Linked DNA regions of Macaca fascicularis. The protein of the gene in region 1 interacts with the protein of each later gene in a pairwise test. Links are inferred from orthologs where the notes say so. Each region holds a gene or a part of one and is shown in the gene's direction. Other genes may lie near its edges. The genes, in order: RAB2A, GARIN6, FAM114A1 and TBC1D25.

Region 1 (6,107 bases):
AGACCAGAAGCCGGGTTTCCTAAGTTATTTTCCTTATAACATATTACCTCTATAGCCTTATATCCATTTCTATGATTTCTGCTACATACCCAGTTCTGACCCTGTTTCCTGTCACAATTTCCCTTGTGTCTACTGGGTAAAGTTCTAAATGCATGGTGACATAACATACAAGGCCCTGCATAACCTGGCACAAGAGACCTCTCCAGGTACTCTCCTCCTCTAACAATGCAAGAATACTCCTGACTCCTAGGATGCCAGGCATTTGTGTGACATCCTGACAGCGTTGTCCAGTTGAGGCTGTTGGTGAAGGAAGGCCATGTCCCTCTATCTTGTGAGAGTGAAGACTTGAGTTTCTCCTCTATCACCCAGGAAGACGTGGGTGAAGGCACTCAAGTGGGAGGGACAAAATGACATCTGAAACCTGGAGGCCTTGGGCAGGGACCTCCCCTTCCTCAAACTAAAGGTGAATGAACCAAATTTTGCGATTCCAGGTAGCTTTTCATGTCAAATTCTTCCATGCCATCCCTCCTCACCCTTTAGTAAAATGCCTTCCAAATATTCCAGAAAAACCTTGTGAGTTCATATTTGGCAAGGCCAACCAAAGCACACAGCAACTCTCCACATCTACCCAGCATGATGGTGTCAGTACTAATTATATAATGAGAGGCCCCAAAGAGAAGAGTATTAGGCAAAAGGAACCAGGGCCACTAAATCCCAATCACTTTTCCCCAGCAATGATTCTCCTTCCATATGAGGTTATGGGTTATGAGGATATGAGTTAGTCAATTAGATTCCTTCCGCAACTTCAAATTCTCTCAACAGATCCCGGAATTTTGCACATTCTGTTCCTTGTCCATAAACTTTGGTTCCCTTCCCCAAACTGCTGTTCTTTTGAGAAACTCAATACATCATTCATATTCCTGGCTCAGAAATCATAATCTCTAAGTAATCTTTCCTGACACTCTATTCTCCACCTCCTCTTCCATAACCTGTGCTCTTTTTGAACAGAGTGGTGACATTTTGGGCTGGATGATTTAAAAAGGAAAGTAGAAAAACAGAACATAGAAATGCAGGGCCTCTAGTTGCTATGCCTGGCAGTACACGAAACATAGTATTCAATAACTATTACTCGAATGCATAGTCATTTTGTTTTTTCCTTTAACAGTATTTCTTAATAGGTAACTCATGAACACTGCAAAAAGCATCAAACTGCACAAAAAAATTCAGGGAAAAGTACATTTTTCCCCCCAATTCCATTCCCTCCTTTCTCTTAATACCAGTTACCTTTCCTTTCAGATTGATTATGCATATATAGGAATGTAAATGTTTTCCCACTATTTGTTACACATAAAAATTGTATACAATTCATATATTACATATGGTGCATGTTATATACACACACATATACAGACTGTCTCGGTTTTCCTTAACCTAAATCAGGCTTTTTTTTTTTGAGCAGCCCTCAAAACCAGGACAGATCCAGAGGCTTTATTCATTTTTATTTACTATTATTATTTTGAGACAGAGTCCCGCTCTGTAGCCCAGGCTGGAGTGCAGTGGTGCAATCTCGGCTCACTACAACCTCCACCTCCCGGGTTCAAGTGATTCTCCTGCCTCAGGCTCCCGAGTAGCTGGGATTACAGGCGAGCGCCACCACGCCCGGCTAATTTTTGTATTTTTAGAAGAGACGCGGTTTCGCCATGTTGGCCAAGTTGGTCTCGAACTCCTGACCTCAGGAGAGAGCAACGTAGTACTCCACTGTATGCGCATACCATGATTTACTTCGCAGTCCCAGATTTACGGTTTCCCATTTATAAATACTGCCATTTTTCACCTTCAAGCCCCGATGCCAAACACAGAAATAACACCTCACCCCCACCCCCTCGCCGTGTGCCTCCCACATTTTCACACACATTTTCAGCAGCCCAGGGCGGGGCCCTGCACCGAACACCGCCTCTGCCGTCCCCCCACGTGCCCCGCGCCCCCACCGCAGGGCGGAAGGCGACAGAACCTAGCCTCTGCATCCCCACCAGTCCCGTTCCCGGCGTCTCCTGGCCGCCGGGCTCGCCCGCTCAAACGTCGCGGAAAGACCAGAGCCCGGACTCGCCTTGCCTAGGGACAGAGCGGACCGAGTAACTCCTGCTCGGTGCGGGGCGGTGCTGCGGCCGCCGGGGCGCGGCCAGCGTGCGGGGCTCCTCCCCCTTCCTCCGGCGGCGCCGGCGGCCGCAGCACTTCCGGGTCGACGCGGAGGCGGGGCGGAGGTGCCGCGGTGGCTGTTATTGTTCGGCTGGGCTCGGTCGGGCGCTGTCTCCTTCGGCTCTGCGGGTGTCAGTTCGTCCGGCTACCTCACAGCCCCTCACTCCCGGCGGCTGACAGCAGCGGCGGCGGCGGCGGGCGGAGCCTGGCGTTTCGAGGCTGAGCGGCGCCGGGGTTAGGGGCGCGGAGGAGGAGCAGTAGCGGGAGGAGGAGCCGTGTGCCCTGGCACTGAGCGGCCGCGGCCATGGCGTACGCCTATCTCTTCAAGTACATCATAATCGGCGACACAGGTGAGGGCCCCGGGCGCGGTCGGGCGAGTGTCGGCGGCCTCCGGACCCGGACTGAGAGGCAAACGGCGTCTGGCGGTGGCGGGGACGCGGACTCCACCCGGCGCCTCCCTCCCGGCCGCGCCGCTCCATTTCCGCAGTGCTGGAGCTGGTGACGTGGGCACTGCGAGCGGCCGCGGCCTGGCCAGGCCCGGTCTGCGGCCCCCGACCGGGCCAGTCTTGCAGCCGAGGGCCGCGGCAGCCGTTTGCGACACTCGATTCAGGAAGTGTGTGACAGGAGGGGAGGCCTAGCGCAGGGCCGCCGGGGCCCGACTCACATGACTGCACCCCACCCCCAGGGCCCCTCGCGTTAGGTCTCTTCGCGGCCCCAGAAGAAAGAAAAAGGGAATCCTAGGCGAGCAGAAGGTGTTGGGACCCGGGTCTTAGTTCCTGACCAGTAACAACCTTCCTCCACCTGCACGCATCTGTCAAGGCCTGGGCAAGGCGCTTTTTGGTGTGGGACAGACAGCTGAGAAGGAGAAAAGGAAAGCTTTAAAATATATATAATATATACATATATGTGCTTTTTTAACACTTTTAACTCTCAAGGCGGAGTAAGTCACGTCTTATTACTTGACGGCTGAAGAATCCCTTTCGGGGTTAGGAAAGCATGAACGAGTTCTGTGCACTTTTGCCACGTGTGAACTGGGGTTATTTAATAGTAATATAAAGTCGTTCAGTGCTCTGGGTGTGTACTTACGTATGTCTGTTGGGGACGCTGCTGTTTTAGATATGTCAGGTTCGGTGTCAACTGCTAATTTTCAGGTGAGCTCATGCCCATTTGAAGCAGAAAGAAATTCAGTTATTCTCACTTAAAATGACATCCTAGTGTATTCCACAGAAACGTAAACAAACTCTTCGTAAATATTTTTAATACCTGTGATTTGGCATTACTTTGAATCTAATAATAAACATAAAGATTGTTTAGATGTTGCAACTATTAATATACCAGAGTCTGATTTCAGTGGTTACTCTTGCACAACTTTGGAGCCTTTGCACAACTTTGGTAATGTAAGCAGCAGTTTGTAGTTGAACTAATGATGTGGCAGGCTCTATAAGTAACTAAATGAGCATGTTGGCCGGACGCGGTGGCTCACGCCTGTAATCCTAGCACTTTTGGAGGCCGAGGTGGGGGATCACCTGAGGTGAGGTCAGGAGTTCGAGACCTGCTTGGCCAACATGGTGAAACCTCGTCTCTACTAAAAGTACAAAAGTTAGCCGGGCGTGGTGGCGGGCCCCTGTAATACCAGCCACTTGGGAGGCTGAGGCAGGAGGATCACTTGAGCCCGGGAGGTGGAGGTTGCAGTGAGCCGAGATCGCGCCACTGCACTCCAGGCTGGGCGACACAGAGACTCCGTCTCAAAAAAAAAAAAAAGGCATGTTGATTGCTGCCTGAAAGAAAAACTTTATGCTAGATAAATGAGTTTTCAGCAAGGTTTTCTGGTGTGTGTGTGTGTGTGTGTGTGTGTGTGTGTGTGTGTGTGTTGAAATTGGATTTATAAACTTTAAAAGAAAAATGCTGTGGTGTATTTGGATGAAGGAAGGAGAATTCTAAAGCCTTCTGGCAAAATTTGATTTAGTCTGTAAAAACAAGATTGGAGAGGAATGCCACATTAACTGTAATATTACTGGGTTTGAGAAATAGAAGCTTGTGACTATGGCCTTTTGGCTATCTCATTAGTGGTGAAGATTCAAATCAGACTTTGCTGATTGCCATTTTTCAGTTTTTTATTTGAGGCTCTACTGTGGGTAAATAAAGTATTGTGCAGGGAGTAGTGGGGCTACAAATCCTAACAAGTTAATGCTCTGTTCTCTTGGAATTTGCTCTTATCCAAAAGCAGTCCCCACGCAGTTCGAAGGGAAGACACTTCTTTCTTGTCATTGCTGCTGATACGACCTAGTTCAGGAATGGAATTCTTGACACTGTGTTGTCTGCAGCAGTACTTCTCCCCACTCCAGTTCAGCCAGTGTAGTTTACTGTCAGTTTAGTCTTCCTGAAGCATGAATGTCAAAAGGCTACTCCCGTTTGCTCACAATTTTTTGTTTGACCTTCAGTGAACTCTGTATTTTAGCCCCTATCTACATTTCTAGCCTTCTTTCCCACTATTCCCCACCTTGCTTCTGCCATTTGAGACCCCGTGGCTGATTTCGGTGTTTTTTTTCCTGGGCCCTGCTACTCTCTATTCTTAGAGTGCTTTCTGGCACAATCTCTCCCTGTGGAAAATCCATCAGTCCTTCAAAGTCTTATCTGAGTTTTCCAAAATGCCTTCACAGTCAACATATATTAAGCTCTTATTGTGTGAAGATTTTCACAGTATCCTGGCTGAAAAGTGACTACTCCTTTTTTGAATTTATGTTTCTCACTCTGTCATTCTTCTGATATTGATCCCAGACTTTTTTGTTTTATAGATATTTGTATAGGCATCTCTATTATGTAGGCATCATTATATACTTCTTGAAGGCAGAAAAGGTGTTATGTATGGCTCTGTGTTTCTTTCAGGAAGAGCCTAGTGAAAGGTAGGCCCTGTATATTTAATTAATAAGAGAGGAGCCAAACAGGCTGCTATATTCCTGTTTGTATAAATAGCTTAACAGAGATTTTTTGTTGTTGTTGTTGTTTTTACCCAGTTCTGCCACTTTCTTGCTTATTAATTTGGGCAAAATCCTTTATCATATTTTTTGAATTCAGAGGATACCCATAGTTGTAAGATACACTCAGTGTGGCCCTCCCCTAGAAAAGATGGCTTTAAAATCAGTAATGTGAGATCCACCTTGATTTTTTAAAAAGTCAGGGTCAAAAACATGCATCTTAGAATGAAGGAAATCACTTAATTTTTCTGTTTCCCTGTTTCCCTAACCTATAACCTTCTCTCAGTATGTGAGATAAAATGAGGATAAATGTGAAAGTACTTTGATTTCTCAAGGGAAAGGAACAATGCACATTTTTCCTTTACAGAGTTCCCTCCTTAGTAGAAGAGGTTTTAAAAACTTTTACATGATCATGATGATACTATTGAGTTGTTTTCTTACTGTAAGACTAAATGCAGTTAAAATGTAGCTTTAAATTGTTTCCTTGTTCCTGTCTTGTTTCTGAGTCATTTAGTAAAATGTGTCATTTAAATCTAGATGTAAAGTGGAAAGTGGTTTTTAATAAGCCGTTATTTATTTAATAAGCAGTTAATTTTCAAGCATAAAAGGAGAGAAAAAATACAAACCTATAGTAATTTTTGCACCTGAAACTCTAGCATCTGCCTAGCATTTTAACCTTATCAATAACCCTCCCTGCCGCTCAATGCTCAGCAAGGTAAACAAAGGCACAAATTTGGTTGCGTTCTTATTTCTGTTAATATCTGAAGCACCCTTTCTTGTTTTTCCCTATCAAAAAAAGTTATGTCAAAGATTTTTGTCACCTGGCCAACTCCTTTTTATCCATTCTTTTGAGATTTTAACAAATCCTACCACTCCCTGTTGCATTTTATGCTGGTCCCCTCCTCTGTTCCCTCATTCTGTTTCGCCTCTCTTCAG
Region 2 (5,978 bases), on another chromosome or scaffold:
GATTTTTGCCAATTACAAGATAAGTAACATAGACTTGAAGTGGAAGTTAAGATATAAAGACTTTAGGAAGGCCAGTAAAAAGTGCTATTGATATGTGAATAGGCATCTCAATAAATAAAATAAAAATACTCCAAGTATCCAAAATAATCACACATTTCAATAAGAAAGGCAGAAATTATGTTTGCATTGACTTATACAACTAAAGACTCAAGTGGGCTGGGCACGGCGGCTCACACCTGTAATCCCAGCACTTTGGGAGGCCGAGGTGGGCGAATCACGAGGTCAGGAGTTTAAGACCAGCCTGGGCCTTTGGGAGGCCGAGACGGGCGAATCACGAGTTCAGGAGATCGAGACCATCCTGGCTAACACGGTGAAACCCCGTCTCTACTAAAATACAAAAAAAATTAGCCGGGCGAGGTGGCGGGCGCCTGTACTCCCAGCTACTCGGGAGGCTGAGGCAGGAGAATGGCGTGAACCCGGGAGGCGGGGCTTGCAGTGAGCTGAGATCCGGCCACTGCACTCCAGCCTGGGCAACAGAGCCAGACTCCGTCTCAAAAAAAAAAAAAAAAAAAAAAAAAGACCAGCCTGGGCAATATGGTAAAACCCAATATGGTAAAACCCTGTCTCTACTAAAAATACAAATTAGCCTGGCATGGTGGCATGTGCCTGTAGTCCCAGTTACTCAGAAGGTTGAGGCAGGAGAATCACTTGAACCCAGGAGGCAGAGATTGCAGTGAGCCAAGATCTCGCCACTAACTCTAGTCTGGGTGGCAGAGTAAGACTCCATCTCAAAAAAAAAAAAAGACTCAACTATGGCTATGGCTGTGTGTGTGTATATGTGTGTGTGTGTGTGTGTGTGTGTGTGTATGTTCATATGGGTTATTATGTGGATTGTTTTCAATAAAGATATTATAATCTTATTAAATTGATAATATTTATAATACCTGGCAAAATTCTTTAGAGCTTTTTTTTTCAATACAATCTGATGGTAAAGAATAGAGCATAAATGTGATGTTTAAGGCTCTTTTCACTCCATAGCCAGGGTACAAATGTCTAGGTAAAAGCTTAAAAATTGCATCAACAGTTTGAGGGTGAGTCAAAACATAAAATTTATCATGGCTGTAGAAACAGAAAAAAAAAATTGCTAATAAAATAGCTTTTTACCTGGTAACAGAAATAAACTTCCCAATAAAAATAGAAATTATAAAGAAAATGAAAGTTACACCTAAGAACTTTAAACATTTCACTGAACATAATTCCATACCCACAAACACATACACATGGTCTTACATAAATTGAATCTCACCTATACTATGAGTTTGAAATCAGTTTTTCTCTTTTTCTTTAAGAAAAAAAAAAAGGTTAGGGATATCTTTTCATGTCAATAAATAGGAAAACCACATAATCATTTTTAGGGCTGTAGACTGTCCCATCACAGAAGGCTCCATAATTTATTTAAGCAATCCCCTATTGTAAGACACTAATGCTGTTTACAATTTTTTACTCTACAATAAACATTGATAAACATCCTGTACTAACGTGTTTACCAATGTATTCAATTCTCTCTTTAAAATAAATGTCTACGACTAGAGGAGCTGGATAAAAGAGTTGACAGAGAATGTATATTAAAGTCTTGCTTCTCACAGAAAATTTACCTCTAATCTTTTTGAAAGCAAATTGCCAGAATGCATTAAGGTCCCCAGATGGGTGGAGGGTCGGGGAGAGTGGTCTGCTGAGCTGTGGAGAGTGGTGGGGCTGAGGGTGGGGTGGAGAGGGTGGTGTCCCTGCCCTGAGGTAGGGGCTGTTGGGTGACAGAAACAAAGGGGTGTGTGATGGGGCAGGTCACAATGGGTAGAGGAGGATAAAAGTGGTCCTGCAGGGTGGTTTAGCAGCAGCGGATGGTTCAGGTTGGGAAGAAGAGCAGTGGGACTGCCAGTTCAGGTTGTGGAATCAAAGAGCAAAGGTTGTTGTGAAGTGGAATATCAGGCTCAAATGGAAGTCCCTCCCAAATGAGCACTGACATCTGTGTGCCTGGATATCCACGAGGGCTCCAACATCTGCGCTCCTGACAGCTCCATGCACTAAACAGGGCACAGTCTGGATCCAGGGGACCAACTGTCTCTGGCATTGAGCAGTTGGCAATCAATACCCCACCCTGTTCTGAGTCATTTGGGGACAAAAAAGAAAGCCTGTAGAACACAACTGCTGGCCCACCTGCCAGAGTGGCCAAGGAAACAGGATGCTCACTAAGGCATGTTAAGGAAGGTGTGGAGCAGCTGCTGGGAACTGTCTTGATAAAAGAAAGACATGGAGGAGCAGTGTATGTTACCGTATTACACTGCCCAAAGCAGCCCCGCAATGGGCATGTTTAATACCTCCATGGGGAAGCTTCAGCGGCAACTGTACAAAGGCGAGTATACTATATTCAGGTATGCACCCATGTTTGAGAGCGACTTTATCCAGATCAGCAAAAGAGGAGAAGTGATGGATGTGCACAACCGTGCCCGAATGGTAACAGTGGGCATTGTTCGCACCAGCCCCTGCCTCACACTACCTGATGTCATGCTGCTGGCCCGACCAGCTGCTGTCTGTGACAACGCCAGGTGTGGTCCTGCCACCCAGAAAACAGATAGTCCGCCTGCAGAGATCTTAGAACTAACCAGACTGCTTCCCTTGATGTTTGTGAAAATAACCATCCACAACAGCATAAAAAAACAGCTCCACCTGAAGCTTGCCACTGGCCGCTCTTTTTATCTTCAGCTGTGTCCCCCCTCAGATGCAAGTGAAGACCTTTTTGTTCACTGGGAAAACCTTGTTTACATCCTGAGACCACCAGTGGAGGCTTACAGTGGTACCAAAGCTATCCTAGCTGGGAGCACATCAGACTCATCTGTGTTTGAGGAAGTGCAGAGAAGCCCAGTGGTGAGTCTATGCAGAGACTAGATGGGGCCAGGATGCTTTTGGGGAGAGCAGGTAAAGGTCCTGTAGAGCCTTTGGTGTTGCAGCTCACCTGGGAAATGCATTGCATTTGGAAGGTCTGAAGGCCAAATGAGCTTCCATTTGGAGGCCATGGCACATTGAGGAGGTTCCTAGTGCTTCTCCAGTGTTCCCCAAACCTGAATTTCAGAGATTTCTTAGCTGTCAGCAACTTTTCATTTTATATTCACAGCTGTTCATTCTATATCCAATGTTGTAATGCTATCCAAAACATCCTGACCAGTCTATTCTGAAACCCATACTATGACCTAGGTAGGCTGATATGTTGTAGGACATGTCTCCCTGCGATTGCCACTTATATACATTGGTGGCAACACAACATGCTTGTGTACATGTGCAATACTTTATTTTTGTTGTTTACCTATAGGAAGAGAAAGGAGATCTTGCTGGTCTCACTTTCTTTGCTTATTTGTTTTCTCCCTAGGGATATGCCATGAAGTTCTGTGAAGAGAAGGAGCAATTCAGAATCAGCAGACTTCACATGAATGCTGAAATGTTTGGGTCCACCTATTATGATTATACAATAGAGATATGAATCCAACATACCTCCCACATATACTACATTCAAGAGTTCACACATTCCTGCAGTCATAAAACCTATAGTGCCTGATAAAGGGGCAGGTTAGCAACAACAGTAGTGATGACAGTAAGCACCACCGCAGGTGCCATGGATGTGGCTGCAACCAAGTCTGCAGGCTCAGAAGAGAAACACAGCACTGGCAAAAGCAGCCTTCAAAGGTCCAGGAGGAAGTATAGCCAGCATGGCTATCGTGGGTGCTTCTATGTCTTAATCTTGTTATAGCAAGGGCTGCATAGACATTCTTGTCCTAAAAGAGTACTTCAAGTACATCAGTAAGTGCTACTGGCCTCTCCCTAGAGAGCAGCATGAATGTGGTGACTACAGGAGCAGAGAGAGACTGTCAATGCAACAGCCTTGTCAGTCTCTCTCTGCTCCTCAAAGACTGACTCTCTGCCACTCAGCATTGGGAGTCAGTATCTCAACTCTGCAGGATGAGGCCACATGAGTGAATGGGATGGAAGTCAGAGGGTCTCTACCTAGCTGGATTGACTCTGCAGTAATAACCTCAAAGTCTGGTACTACACATGGTGCAGAGGTGGACATCTCACCTAAGACTGTGGAGGGGAGGAACATGATTCACCATAATAAAATCCATCAACTCATATTATCTGCTCTAATAACATATGCTCTATTGACAGGAAGGGTAGCAATAAAACTAATAGCAATTTATGATCAGGCTCTGAAAACTATCTTTAACTTTCCCTTAACTTTACATTTTTTATTATAAAAGATAAATAGATGACATAAAATTAATAGATGACAGAATAAAATGTTGAAGATTACTCTCAAAGATATGATCCTACATCAGAAGAATTCTTCTAAAACTATTTTCCAAAATATAAAATGAGAACCCAGAAACACACACACACTCTGTCTCCCTCTCTCTTTCTCTCTCTTGCTCCCGGTTTGAATCATAGCATTGCCACACATTAACTGTGACCTTTAGTAGACTGTTTCTTTAAATGGTCACCTTGAGATTATACATGTATAATATCTGGTACATAGTAGGCACTGTGTAAATGGTGGTGTTGAGAAACAAATTCTGAGTTTAATCATACTTTCCAGAAAGGGCTTAATTTTCCCAGTCTTTTCACTCTTGATTTCCTTTCTTAAATCTTAATTAACTGCTTTGCAATTGTCCCATAAAAGCTCTATTTACAGTAAATCTTCTTAGTATCTTCCCAAGAATTTTAATCCCCTGATATTATTTAGAATTCTAAATTTTCATGAATTTGTACAAACTTCAATCTAGTCACAACAGAAAGACAATTTCAAAGCACTCATCTTTTAGCTGATTCTCTCCAATTTTACTATTCTTGGAGACAGAAAAATAAAAGAACACCTAATATAGGATCAATTCATAATCTGGAAAAAACTGGAAATTAGATAATTTTAGAATTGTAAGATCCACATCCACGGGATTAGCCAATATTCTAATTTTGCAAGTAAAAAATCTGCTTTAGTCTAAAGTAATACCTCATATGGTTTGATAATCCAGAACCAGAATGTATAGGCAACCTGGCCCCCAATTAAGTCTGTATTGTTTCTGTAATACTCATGTTTCTGATGAGCACTATGCTTTGAATATAAAAGATATTTGATACATGTTTGCTGGATCCAATCAAGGGCTATAAATGCGAAATATAATTTATTCCAATCCAACAAATCTGGGGATATAAAATTTTACATAGTACTGTACTAATGGTACAGATCCCAAAGGTTCCTATATATATTGTAAGGAAGCAGTTTACCAGTAGACCCTCACAGCGTTCATGGCTTAATGATTTTTAATGGTCTCCAAAAGTGCTTCAGACCTGAAAAAATGGCTTCAAAATATGAAAAACATTTCACAGGTTAGATGTTCTAGCTTTGTGAATTTCAAGGTTACATTACTGAGAAATCACATCTAATCATAAATCACTTTTCAGCAAATAATGTCAAATGAAAAACTTTTTAAAATAAAACAATTTTTGTTGTTCATGTGGTATGTAGTCCAGTATCATATGATACTGGAGACTCCCTAAGAGGCTTTAAAATGAACATATTGCCAACTCTTAACAGAGACCAACTTTATCTTTGTATTCAAGGACTGTCAGCATGCTTACCACATTGTAGTACCTTGATAATCACAGAAGGGATCATTGCTAAAAGCACTGTGCATTTTGTATCTCTTCTCTAAATCTTCAATCTGACTCAGTCTCTTTTTAAATTGTATATTCCTTTGGTAAATATTTCAATCTGCTTCTCATTACAAATCGTGATGCTTATTACCATCAATCAGATCCTGTTCCTAGGTAACAGTTTTCTTAAAATTCTAAAACAATACATATCCTGGTACCTCATCTCTTGTAATCAAAGTTTAAGAGATAATTTAGATGATACTTATAATAACAGAAAAATA
Region 3 (6,123 bases), on another chromosome or scaffold:
CCCACTCTCACATTAAGACAACTTTCTAGTTTTTCTGTGAATTTAAAAATAACAGGCTGGGCATGGTGGCTCACGGCTGTAATCCCAACACTTTGGGAGGCCGAGGTGGGCAGATCACTTGAGGTCAGGAGCTCGAGACCAGCCTTGCCAACATGGCAAAACCCAGTCTCTACTGAAAACACGAAAATTAGCCAGGCATGGTGGCAGGTGCCTGTAATCTCAGCTACTCGGGAGGCAGAAGAATCGCTTGAACCCGGGAGATGGAGATGGTGCCTCTGAAGTGCAGCCTAGGCCACAAATCAAGACTCTGTCACCCTAAAAAACATAATAAAATAAATATTCAGTAGCTTAAAAAATTATTAATATGAAAATATTTAATGAAAAATTAAAGAAAAAATATAATTGGGCGCGGTGGCTCATGCCTGTAATCCCAGCACTTTGGGAGGCTGAGGTGGGTGGATCACCTGAGGTTAGGAGTTCGAGACCAGCCTGGCCAACATGGTGAAACTCCGTTTCTACTAAAAAATACAAAAATTAGCCGGGTGTGGTGGCACGCACCTGTAATCCCAGCAACTTGGGAGGCTGAGGCAGAAGAATTGCTTGAACCCGGGAGGCAGAGGCTGCAGTGAGCTGATATCATGTCACTGCATTCCCGCCTGGATGACAGAGCAAGATTCCGTCTCAAAAAAAATAAAGTAATAAATTAATTAATGTATATGGAAGAAACTGGAATATAAGTAACAACCTAATTGTCTGTCAAAAAGAGAATGATTGAATGAAATATAGTTACAAACATATAACAATATGTAAGACAAATCTTAGAAGAGTGGTTTTGGTTGATATGTATTGACCAAGAAAGATGATTATAATATGTAATAGGGGAAAATTTACAAAATATGTCAACATCTCACCATTTTTATAAAAAAGCAAACAAAAAGCTGTTTATGCACACTTGTGTTTATATACGCTTAGAAAAGCTATGGTAGGATCCACACACTATAAGAAATGGTAGTGATATTGAAGAAGAGAGGGTGAGGCTATATTTTCTTTAACTTTGAATTTATAATTTTTTAAAAATAAGAGGGTATGGAGTGGGAGAAAGAAGAGAAAATCTGCCTTAAACACATCGCTCACAAAGAATCACTGTTTTTAAATTGTCTTTCCCCTGACTTTTATATAAAACACAAAATTGTTTACAAAACTAGTTAATACTGTAAACACTGCACTTCCTCTGCATCTGAGTTCATATTAAGCCATATTTGAGGAAGGCCTTACTATGTGGCCTTCCTTCCATGTCAACGAATTCTCATTTTTAAGGGCTACAACATATTCGATGTCTGAAGCTACTGTAGCTTACTTCACCAGTCTTACTGGGGGACATTTAGATTGTCTCCAGCTTCCCCCCACAGAAGCAACTACAATAAACATCCTTGTACATACATGTTTGCCCATTTGACTGCCTACTTAGGACAAATTAGCAAATGTGGAATTCCTAGGCCAAAGCTAATACATCGGAATTTTGACCCACAGCTCCAAACTGGCCTTCTGGAAAGTGGGTTTTCGCTGTTTGTTTGGGGTTTGTTTGTTTTAAATCTATCACACTCCCACGGACAGGGCAAGGGAGTGCTGCTTAACGCAGAATCAGGAGCTCAAACTTTATCTGAACTTGCGCGACCTCTTCCCAGTGACACGGCGGGGGTTTTCCAAGCGCTTTTAAGGAAAGGGATCTGGCGAACCCCAAGACTCACCCGCCCTCGGTTGGACAGGGGGCGCGCTCTGGTTCTCTGGGCTGGCACAGGGGTGGGACAAACCAAGTTTCCAGGAGGCTCGCCCAGCGCGGGCCCTGCCCCTCGCAGCGTGGGGGTGGCCGGGCGTCCCCGCGGCGCTCCCCGTGGGGCGGGGCGCAGGCGGGGCGGGGCCCCCTCTCCAGCCGCCCGCCCCCTGCCCGCTCCCCGCCCGCCCTCCGGCCGCGTCCCCGCCGGCCCTGCAGACGTGGCGGGGCGGGACCCACCGGGCACTCCCGCGCGTACTCGGCCGCCTGAGCGGTAAGAGCCCCGGGCAACCTGTCCCCATCCCCTTCCCCGGGGGGCGGGCGAGCGCGGGGGCGGCCGCCCCGGGGTGGTGGGAACACCATACTGTGGCGCCTCGTCTGGGACCCACGAATCCTGCCCTCTGCGTTAGTGAGAAGCCGCGGTCAGGGAGGACCTGGCTCTGGGGTGAGGGTCCGGGGTGGCGCGGCCGAGGGCCCTGCGTGGGTGCGGGCGTGTGAGTGTGTGTGTGTGAGTGTGTGTCGCTCCGGGTCCACGCTCATGCACACACCCACACGCCCACACTCAGGGTCTGCCCCCTCGGCCGGCGTGAACCTCCACGGAGCCTGCCTGGATCTCCCAAACTATCCAGTCCTGGCACCAAGCAAGTCTGGAAAAGTGCCTCAGTGGCTCAGGGCCAAGTCAGAGGCGGGCTGCAGGGCCCCCCAGCCCGGGCACGGAGGGAGCAGGTCCCTGTAAGACTGAGGCCTCTTCCCAGGGTGCGCCTGCCCTCGGCCTTGGCACAGGGAGCTCAGGCCTTGACCTCCCCGCTCCCTCGCCTTACCCCTCCTCCAGCAGCCGACCCACGCCCTGCCTGCTCTTCCAGTCCAGCCAACACTCTAAACAGGCACCGCCTCCATTCGCAGCCCCCGGGATGAGTCCCACTCCCTACCCCAGCTCCCCAGGCCCCCTCCAACCAGTCAGCTAGCCCTCGCCCCTGCCATCCGGTGAGTATTTCCAGGCACCTCAGACCAGGCGCCTCAATGTCACTGCCCTTTCCTAAGTAGGAAGACATCTATCCACGGGCTGAGAGCATTAGCTATGCCCTGCTGACCCCATCCGTTCCCGTCCTAAACATCTTGAAGGACACAAGCAGGTGGCTTTTTAAATCAGTGTCCTCTGAACTCCCTGTGACCTCAGCCAACCTGTGACAACTGAGAATGAGACAGCCTCTATCCTCGGAGCCTCTTTTGCCCTCTCTGCAGCCCAGTGGCTGCTTCTCTACCTCACTCCTATGCCTGTGTCCCCTCCCTCCGTTCTTCCATCAAGCCTGAGCTTGGGAAATAATCTGATAAACTTCTTACATTGTAACCTTTAAGTGAAGGAATGAGACTTTAGGGATGGATTTGAGGCACAAGTGAGCCAATGCAGAAGGAATTTGAGGGTGGGAGGGGGCCTTCTTGAATCTGAGCGATTCAGACCATAAAAGTAAACTTGTCTTTCTTTATTTGACCAGGCTTATCTCAAACTTGGTTTCTCTTTTATTAATATCGAACACAATATATTTCAATCCAGTAAATATCTGAGGGACAGAAACGAACCTAGATGCTGTTGGTCATAGTCTTGGAGGACAGAATGGCAGAAGTAAATACTCCATAAATACATGCAATAGAAATCTGTGCAAAGTGCCAAAAACGTAGAAGAGGGAGCAGTTATTTCACTGGAAGGAGTGGGGCAGATTAAGGAAAAATTCACAATGAAAGAGAACATTAGACATTGGGTATCTAGAGGAATAGGAGTTTGCCAGGCAGCTGGAGGAAGGGCAGCACCAGGGCAGAGGAACCAACATAAGCAAAGGCAGGGAGATGTGAAGAGTTACGGGGAATGGAGAAAAGACTGGTGAGGCAGGAGTGGAGGGCACTGAGAGTTGCAAGAGGTGGAGAGAGATTGGAGCTGGATTATGATGGGAAGTGCGAAGATATTTACACCTAATGGTTTTTAAACAGGGGAGGAAGTAGGTCCAAAAATGCCTGGCAGTCACACAGAGAATAGGCTGAAGCCTGGGTACATAGACTTGTCAAGCCTTATACAAACTCACACAAACTGTTACAACCTGATTAAGAGCCTCTCATACAGAGATTTTATTCCTGGTCCTTCGCTGACCAACACTTTTTTTTTTTTTAAACTGGGGGAGATGACCTCACACAGGATATCATGCTAACCAAATTTTTATGCTGCCAACTGAGGCCATTTTTTTAAAAAAATCCATCTACTGTCACTACTATTTCATAAAATGAAAGGCATTTCAATACCAAGAAAAAGCACAAAGGCTAAACTTGCAAGATGAAGGCAGTCTTTTACATTTAATAAATTTAGATTTATGAAAAACTTGCGATCTTGTCCTCATTTTTCTCTATCATCACAGACTTGCCCCAGTCCTGCAGGTGGGGTTTGGAAAAAAAGCATCCAAATCAGTTTGTCCATCCTAGCTTTACAGAGGAGCAGGTGTAAGCGCAGTGAGGATGAGTAAGTTCTGTGCCCACAAAAGGATGCTGGGACCACAGGCCACATCTCTTAACGCCTGCAGGGCACAACTCTTCCCACCTCTGAATACCATTGCTCTCACCTCTCATTATTCCCCACACAGCCTCGTGTCCTGGCCTCTCAGACACCTGTCCTGAATCGCTAGAGTCCATCCCTAATGCTTGGACATTTGCACATGCTCTCATCCCACCAGGCTTGAATTACCACTTCAAAGACACTTTCAAGGTTCTCCTTTGCACAGGGTCAGTCTAGTTCAGGCACATCTGTCCTTGATTTGCTGTGCTGTTTTGCATCACTTTTTAACTGTTTTGTGTTAACTCCTCAAACAGATGATTCATTTCTGAAGGATAGTGACCATACTTTTTTTATACTTATTTTTCGAGCTGGGATGTTGCTGCTTCAATACCTCGCATAGTACTGGGAGCATTTTCGGTGATGAATGAATTTACTCATGAAAAACTAACTTATTCCCAGCCCACAAAGGCTTCTTTATATGTGACCCTTCCTCTCCTTAGAGTTTCCTGAAGCAGCCTCCTTGTTGCTGTGGGTTGAGTCTCCTTAGCCTCCAGGCCACGAGACATGGCTACAGTGATCAATCTTCCTAACCATAAATCAGGAAAGGTTTCTAAGTCTGGCTTATGGAACACCCAGATGGAGATGGAAAGTGTCCCAGGAAACACAGTGCTTGTCACGACTGTAATCCTGGTGGACTCCAGCAGCCCCTGCTCAGAAACAGTTGTGTATTTCAAACACGCAGTTTCTAGTGGTTTCATACAAAAGGGTACAGACTGAAAAATGATTACATTTCCCCCATCATGATAGCATCCACAGTCGATAAAGGTCTACCAGAACAACCAAACAAAAAATGAGAAATTGAAATAGGGCTGATCTTGCATGACCCTTTCTTTTTTTTTTTTTTTTTTTACAATTAGAAATTGAATTAGGGCTTTTTTTTTTTTTTTTTTTTTTGAGTCGGGGTCTTACTGTGTCACCCAGGCTGGAGTGCAGTGGCACGATCTTGGCTCACTGCAGCTTCTGCCCCCCAGGTTCAAGCAATTCTTATGCCTCAGCCTGCAGAGTAGCTGGGATTACAGGCACATGCCACCATGCCCAGCTAATTTTTTTTGTATTTTTGGTAGAGACAGGATTTCACTCTGCTGGCCAGGCTGGTCTGGAACTCTGGCCTCAAGTGATCCGCTTACCTTGGCCTCCCAAAGTGCTGGGATGTGAGCCACTGTGCCTGACCGATGACCATTTTTAAATTTAACAGATATAAAGATCTAGAATTTCTAAAATTTATAAATTATCCATAAATATTTTAAACAATAATCCATAAATATTTTAAATAATAATCCATAAATATTTTTTAACAATGCCTGTTTAACATCTTACAGCTGAGTTTCTGGGGTATTTCTGAAGGGATGGTTTGTGTTGGTTGAATGTAGAGCAGCCACAGAGAAGAGTTTTATTGCAGCACTTTTTCTACATTTGGGATAAACTGACCTAAGGCAATTTGGCCATCAGACATAGGTAAGGGCTATAGATTTCCTCCTCTGCAACTTCCCTACCAAGAGCTAAATTCCCAGGAATCCAAGTTCACTGATGGAATTCTGCCATAAACCCACACATGTATTAGCAAACAGGCTTAGTTAACCAGTCTGTTCTTATAAGCTCAAGGAAGTCCTAGCTCACTGTCCTTTTAGGCCTGTGTTCTAGAGGCAGGACTCAGCTAAGCTTCTAGTCACCTTCAGGTTTGGAGTCCTGCATTCAGCTAGAGGCCCTAGAAGAACCCTACTCCAAAGGGTAAGTCAGCTGCTGGATTCAGTGCAAT
Region 4 (6,093 bases), on another chromosome or scaffold:
TAGACTTGCCTAAAAAGTTAACCTTGAGGGTTGCATCCATATGACACGGACACAATAGTTGGAGTGCTAGTATCTTACAAGACTCCTTTGTTGGAAATTAACATTTGTAAGTACAGCCTGTATTTTGTCCAGACCGCACGGATGTTGTGCCATTAAGTGGGAAGACTGCCTTTTTGCATTTTGCCATACATAAAGTTTCTCAGAAAAGTCTAAGATATATTTAATAATTCAGCCAATATCTAGTAGACATACACTGTTTAAGAGCAGGACCAACCTTAACATGTTGTGGGCTTTTTTTTTTTTTTTGAATCAGGGTCTCACTCTGTCACCCAGGCTGGAGTGTAGTGGTGTGATCACAGCTCCATTGCAGCTTGGACCTCCCAGGCTCAAGCAATCCTCTCACCTCAGCCTCCCGAACACTAGGAGCACAGGTACGCACCCACACCCAGCTAATTTTTTTTTTTTTTTTTTTTTTTTAATTTCGTAGGGACAGGGTCTTCCTGTGTTGCCCAGGCTGGTCTCGAACTCCCCGGCTCGAGCAATCCTCCCACCTCGGCTTCCCAAAATGCTGAGATTACAAGTGTGAGCCACTGTGCCTGACTCAGTTTATTTTTAAAATTTTTTCTTCATTTATTATTGGCTTCTTGCATTCATTGTTTTGAGCACTAACTATGTGCTCAGCACATTGCTAAGCCTTTTGCATGCTCTGCTGGGCATTCCCCATTTGCTCTTCCAGATCCGTTATCCACCCTGCTCTGGGACCCCAGAAAGCTGATCTTTTACAGATGGTATCATTTGGGCTCCATTGGTTGGTTTGTAGTTGAGCCTGGCCACTTCTCTTTCAATGCGTCCCTGGCAGTCAGTACCAACATTTTAGTCAGGTTTCAAATAAATCTCTAGACCAAGCTGGAGAGAGGGCTCTTCCAATGATTCACTGATTCTCCAAGATCTGAGAATGTGAAACTTGGAAAAGGGACATAAAGACCAGGGATCCTTTGAACTGGTTCAATAATGGCAGAGCTTTAGAGATATGCTTCTGAGCTCCCTGGGTCTGTCTCGCTTTCTGCCTTCTGAAGTCTTGATTGTTAACTTCTTCCTGGGTTTCAGTTAGAAGCATTAGTGTCAACTGGAGTTGAATTACCTGGAAGTTTGCCTCCTAGTTGTATAAACTTGGGAAAATATGATCTCGTCAAGTTTCAGACAAAGGCAAACCAAAGCTAGAACTCCAAAGAGCATAAAAGTTTTTTTGGGGGGTAAATTATTTAATGAAGTGTAACATTCATACAGGAAGTACAAAAATCATCAGTGTACAAAATCTCTATGAATTTTCACAATGTGTAAACCATTTTCCTGTTTTTTGTCTGACCTTACTAAGTCAGGGTGTAAATTATTAATTTTTGTTTGAGACAGGGCTTTGCCCTGTGGTGCAGGTTAGGGCAGTGGTGTGAGCAGGGCTCACTGCAGCCTTGACTTCCTGGGCTCAGCTATCCTGCTGCTTCAGCCTCCCGAGTAGCTGGGACTGCAGGTGTGCGCCACCACGTCCAGCTAATTGTTTAATTTTTTGTTAAGAGACAGAGTCTCGCTGTCTAGAACTCCTGGGCTCAAGAGATCTGCCCGCCTCGGCCTCCCAAAGTGCTGAGACGTGAGCCACTGCACCCTGCTGAGTATATTTTTTAAAACACTTTAACTAGGGGCTATGGCTCACACCTGTAATCCCAACACTTTGGGAGGTCAAGATGGGCGGATCACCTGAGGTCAGGAGTTCGAGACTAGCCTGGGCAACAAGACTAAACCCTCTCTCTACAAGATACACAAAAATTGGCTGTGTGTGGTAGCGCGCTCCTGTAGTCCCAGCTCTCGGGAGGCTAAGGCAGGAGGATAGCTTGATCATAGCTCACTTTGAGGCTGCAGTGAGCTGTGATCGCGCCATTGCACTACAGCCTAGGTGACAGAGCGAGACCCTGCCTTAAAAAAAAAAAGGATTTCTTTCCCGTTCAGTGGATTCATTTGAAGCGAGGGCCAATTTGAAATAGATGACATCATCTGTTAGCAGAGGCGTGAGGCAACTTGAGGCGGGGTATGGGGCCTGACGTCATCACGCAGCCCCTTCCTTTCCCCGCCCACTTCTCTTGGCGAACGAGGTGTCAGTATAACACCTCTATGAATCCGGAAGTAGGCTGTCAAAACAACCAAACCACGGGGCTGGGGGAGGCGGGGCCTCAGTAGGCGTCCTCACGCTAGCTGAAATAAAGCAAAATGCCCGACTTTTGGGGGCGGGGCTCCTGGCAACAGCATCTAGGCGCAGGCGCAGAGGCGACCTCCAGGCAGGGCCAGGTGGGAGGGACGGTGGGGGGGTAGGGTCGCGCAGAGCCCTCTGCGCCTGCGCCCCGGCACGAGGTGGGGCGGCGGGCGTCAGTACAGTAGAGTGTGCGCCGGGTTGGGGGGCAACGGTCAACCGTCACCCTGAGACGGGCGGCGGCGGGATGGCGACAGCCTCCGGGGCTTCGGATTTGTCTGGCTCCGGAGCGCCCCCGCCCGGCGTGGGAGCTCAGGCGGCGGCGGCCGCTGAGGAGGAGGAGCGAGAGGTGGTGCGGGTCCGAGTCAAGGTGAGGCTGGCGGGTGAGTCGGCCCAGGCGCCGAGGCATCCCAGGGGAGGGGGAGGCGGTGGCTGTCGTAGGATGGAGAGCGGGACCTGAGATTTGGGACAAAACCTGAGCGGCGAAGCTTGAGGGCCAAGTGATGGTGGCGAGGGGGAGGGAGGGCCTGAGAGCTTGGGAGCGTTAGCGACGTACCTTGGGGCGTGGGACTGAAAATGGAGAGACGGGGGTCTATGGGATAAATGGGTGGAGCTTATAGACAAAGGGGAGGGGCTACGGGCTGGAGGAGGGGCCGCAGTAGTTGAGGGTGGGGCTCTGAGGAATGAGAAGGTGCTGGCTCTGGAGTCAGTCAACCCGTATGTGTCGAGAGTGCACTCATGTGCAAGTTCCCACTTTGATGAACTGACAGGCTCGTGGGTGGAGACAACTAAAGAAATGAGATGCTTCGGACACTCAAATAATGAAAAAGGTTATGCAACAGGGAGTCACTTTAGCCAAGGTTGTACAGGGAAATCCCCAGAGGAGGTACTGAAGGAGCAGAGACCCGAATAAAAGGAGTTAGCCATGTGCATATTAGAAGGGAAGAGTATTCTAGGCAGAAGGAATAGCAAGGGCAAAGGCTAGAGGATGGGAATGGGCCTGGCATGTTCCCGTAGGTTCCTGATTGCTGGAGTGGAGAGAATGAGGGGAAGAGTGGTAGGAGGTGAATCAGAGTGCTAAGACAGAGGCAGATCGCCAAGGGCCTTTGGTGTATATGCTGAGGAAGAACGCTGTTGCCATAGTTCCGTAAACAATGATGGTGGCTCCAACCAACCAGTGGCACTGGCAGTGATAAGAGGGTCCACACATCACTTCAGTGTAATAAAGCTCTAAGGTAGAAGTTTGACATTCAGAAAAAAAGATGCCTGAGCTGGGAGTGAACCACGTGAAGAAAGTGGGAGGGATGTTCCAGACAGGGGATCAGCACAATCAATGGCCTGGAGTCAGGATGGTTTCAAGGTAACTTCTAACAGTTTGGTACTACCAGAGTATAAAGTTCAAAAAACCTGGTGAGAGGCTGGCTGGGGCCCCATAGGCCCGCTTGCTGGGACTCTAGGGTTGCCATTGAAGAGATTTAAGCAGGAGAGTGTTGTAGGTAGATGTGCTAGATTGGTTACAGCATCATAGAGGACTGATTTAACAGGAGCCAGACTGGATATGGTGATTCTGGCAACCACAGTTGAAGGGATATAGAAGAAGGATTGGGGGCCTGAACCCTTGCAGTAGCCGCCTCCTCACTGGACCCTATGGTCCAGAACACCTGCCTTGATCTGGCCCCTGGCACCTCTCTGACTTTGCCTTCTACCACTCTGCACCTCACTCTTCAGCATGGTGATGAGGCCCCTGGTGGCCTACCCCATGTCTTCTCTCCCCAGAAATGTGAGAGCTTCTTACCGCCAGAGTTCCGCTCTTTTGCTGTAGATCCCCAGATCACCTCGCTTGACGTGTTGCAGCACATCCTCATCCGAGCCTTTGATTTGAGTGGGTGAGTGGGAAGATGCTGGGGACTGGCCAGTGGGCCACCCACCTCTACAGTGGTTATCTAGCCTTTGTTTGTTTGGTAGGGTTTGTGTTTATTTTACTACTACAAATAATCCCACAGTGAACAGCCACATATGCATGTCTTGGAGTACAGCAGTCTACTTTTATCTGTGGTTTTGCTTTCTGCAGTTTCAGTTACCCATGGTCAACCTCAGTCTGCAAATATTACATACAATAAGTTATTTTGAGAGAGAGAGAGACCACATTCACATTACTTTTATTACAGTTTACAGATAGTCCCCAACTTACAATAACTGGACTTAGGATTTTTCAACTTTACAATGGTGCAAAAGCGATACGCATTTGGTAGAGACTGTACTGCAAGCCATTCTGCTTTTCACTTTCAGTACAGTGTTCAATAAATTACGTGAAATATTCAACACTATTATAAAGTAGGCTCTGTGTTAGATGAGTTTGCCCAACTGTAGGCTAATGTGAGTGTTCTGAGCACGTTTAACGAAGGCTAGGCTAACCTGTGATGTTTGGTAGGTTAGGTGTGTTAAATGCATTTTTCTTTTTTTTTTCTTTTCTTTTCTTTTTTTTTTTTTTTTTGAGACAGAGTCTCACTATCACCCAGGCTGGAGTGCAGTGACATCTCCCGGGTTCAAGTGATTCTCCTGTCGCAGCCTCTCAAGTAGCTGGGACTACAGGCGTGCACCACTATGCCGGGATAACGGTTTTTTTTTTAGACGAAGTTTTGCTCTTATCCCCTGGACTGCAGTGCAATGGCGCAGTCTCGGCTCACTGCAGCCTCCACTTCCTGGGTTCAAGTGATTATCCTGCCTCAGCCTCCCAAGTAGCTGGGATTACAGGCACGCACCACCATGCCTGGCTAATTTTTGTATTTTTAGTAGAGACAAGGTTTCACCATGTTGGTCAGGCTAGTCTCGAACACCTGACCTCAAGTTTTCTGTCCGCCTCGGCCTCCCAAAGTGCTAGGATTACAGGTGTGAGCCACCACTCCCAGCCCCGGATAGTTTTTTGATCTTCTCTTTTTTTTTTGAGACAGAGTCTCACTCTGTCACCCAGGTTGGAGTGCAGTGCCCAATCTTGGCTTACTGCAGCCTCTGCCTCCCAGGTTCAAGCGATTCTCATGCCTCAGCCTCCCGAGTAGCTGGGATTACAGGTGTGTGCCACCACACTCAGCTAATTTTCATCATATTGGTCAGACTGGTCTCGAACTCCTGACCTCAAGGGATCTGCCCAGCTCGGCCTCCCAAAGTGTTGGGATTACAGGCGCATGAGCCTCTGCACCCGGCCAATTTTTGTATATTTAGTAGAGACAGGGTTTCGCCATGTTGCCTAGGGCAGTCTCAAACTCCTGAGCTCAAGCAATCTGCCCGTCTCAGCCTCCCAAAGTGCTGGGATTACAGGTGAGGCACTGCGCCCAGCCAAATGCATGGTCAACTTACAGTATTTCCAACTTATGAACTTATGATGAGTTTATTGGTACATAATCCTGTCATAGTCAAGAAGCATCTGTATTGTCATAATTGTTCTATTATTGTTCATCTCTTACTGTGCCTAATTTATCAATTAAACTTTTTCATAGGTATGTATGTATATGAAAAAAAAAAAACATAGTATATGTAGGTCTTGGTACTATCTGCAGTTTCAGGCATCCACTGGGGGGTCTTGGAATATATCCCCTGTAGATAAAGAGGGAGTAATGTATTTGGAAACATCCAGTCATGGGATAAATTCCTAGCAGTGGTATTGTCAGGAAAAAGGGTATTTGCATTTTAATTTTTTTTTTTTTTTTTTTAGTCAGAGTCTCACTCTGTCGCCCAGGCTGGAGTGCAGTGGTGCGATCTCAGCTCATTGCAACCTCCACCTCCTGGGTTCAAGCGATTCTCCTGCCTCAGCCTCCTGAGTAGCGCCACCATGCCTGGCTAATTTTTGTGTTTTTAATAGA

Evidence for each region.
Region 2: the proteins of RAB2A (region 1) and GARIN6 interact in binary tests that used the Homo sapiens proteins (3 or more experiments, as listed by UniProt). The two-hybrid records come from large-scale screens. The link is inferred for Macaca fascicularis from reciprocal best matches to the Homo sapiens genes RAB2A and GARIN6.
Region 3: the proteins of RAB2A (region 1) and FAM114A1 interact in binary tests that used the Homo sapiens proteins (3 or more experiments, as listed by UniProt). The two-hybrid records come from large-scale screens. The link is inferred for Macaca fascicularis from reciprocal best matches to the Homo sapiens genes RAB2A and FAM114A1.
Region 4: the proteins of RAB2A (region 1) and TBC1D25 interact in binary tests that used the Homo sapiens proteins (3 or more experiments, as listed by UniProt). The link is inferred for Macaca fascicularis from reciprocal best matches to the Homo sapiens genes RAB2A and TBC1D25.

The regions. Positions count from the first base shown.
Region 1 is NC_088382.1:70,468,257-70,474,363, forward strand, and holds the start of RAB2A (ras-related protein Rab-2A), read left to right. Parts: upstream 1-2,278; 5' UTR 2,279-2,500; coding exon 2,501-2,546; intron 2,547-6,107.
Region 2 is NC_088385.1:106,654,836-106,660,813, forward strand, and holds GARIN6 (Golgi-associated RAB2 interactor protein 6), read left to right. Parts: upstream 1-1,890; 5' UTR 1,891-2,307; coding exon 2,308-2,922; intron 2,923-3,421; coding exon 3,422-3,532; 3' UTR 3,533-4,181; downstream 4,182-5,978.
Region 3 is NC_088379.1:38,160,147-38,166,269, forward strand, and holds the start of FAM114A1 (protein NOXP20), read left to right. Parts: upstream 1-1,988; 5' UTR 1,989-2,045; intron 2,046-6,123. UniProt on the Homo sapiens protein: May play a role in neuronal cell development.
Region 4 is NC_088395.1:48,685,456-48,691,548, forward strand, and holds the start of TBC1D25 (TBC1 domain family member 25), read left to right. Parts: upstream 1-2,366; 5' UTR 2,367-2,483; coding exon 2,484-2,606; intron 2,607-4,012; coding exon 4,013-4,122; intron 4,123-4,134; coding exon of another isoform or gene 4,135-4,192; intron 4,193-6,092; coding exon 6,093-6,093. UniProt on the Homo sapiens protein: Acts as a GTPase-activating protein specific for RAB33B. Involved in the regulation of autophagosome maturation, the process in which autophagosomes fuse with endosomes and lysosomes.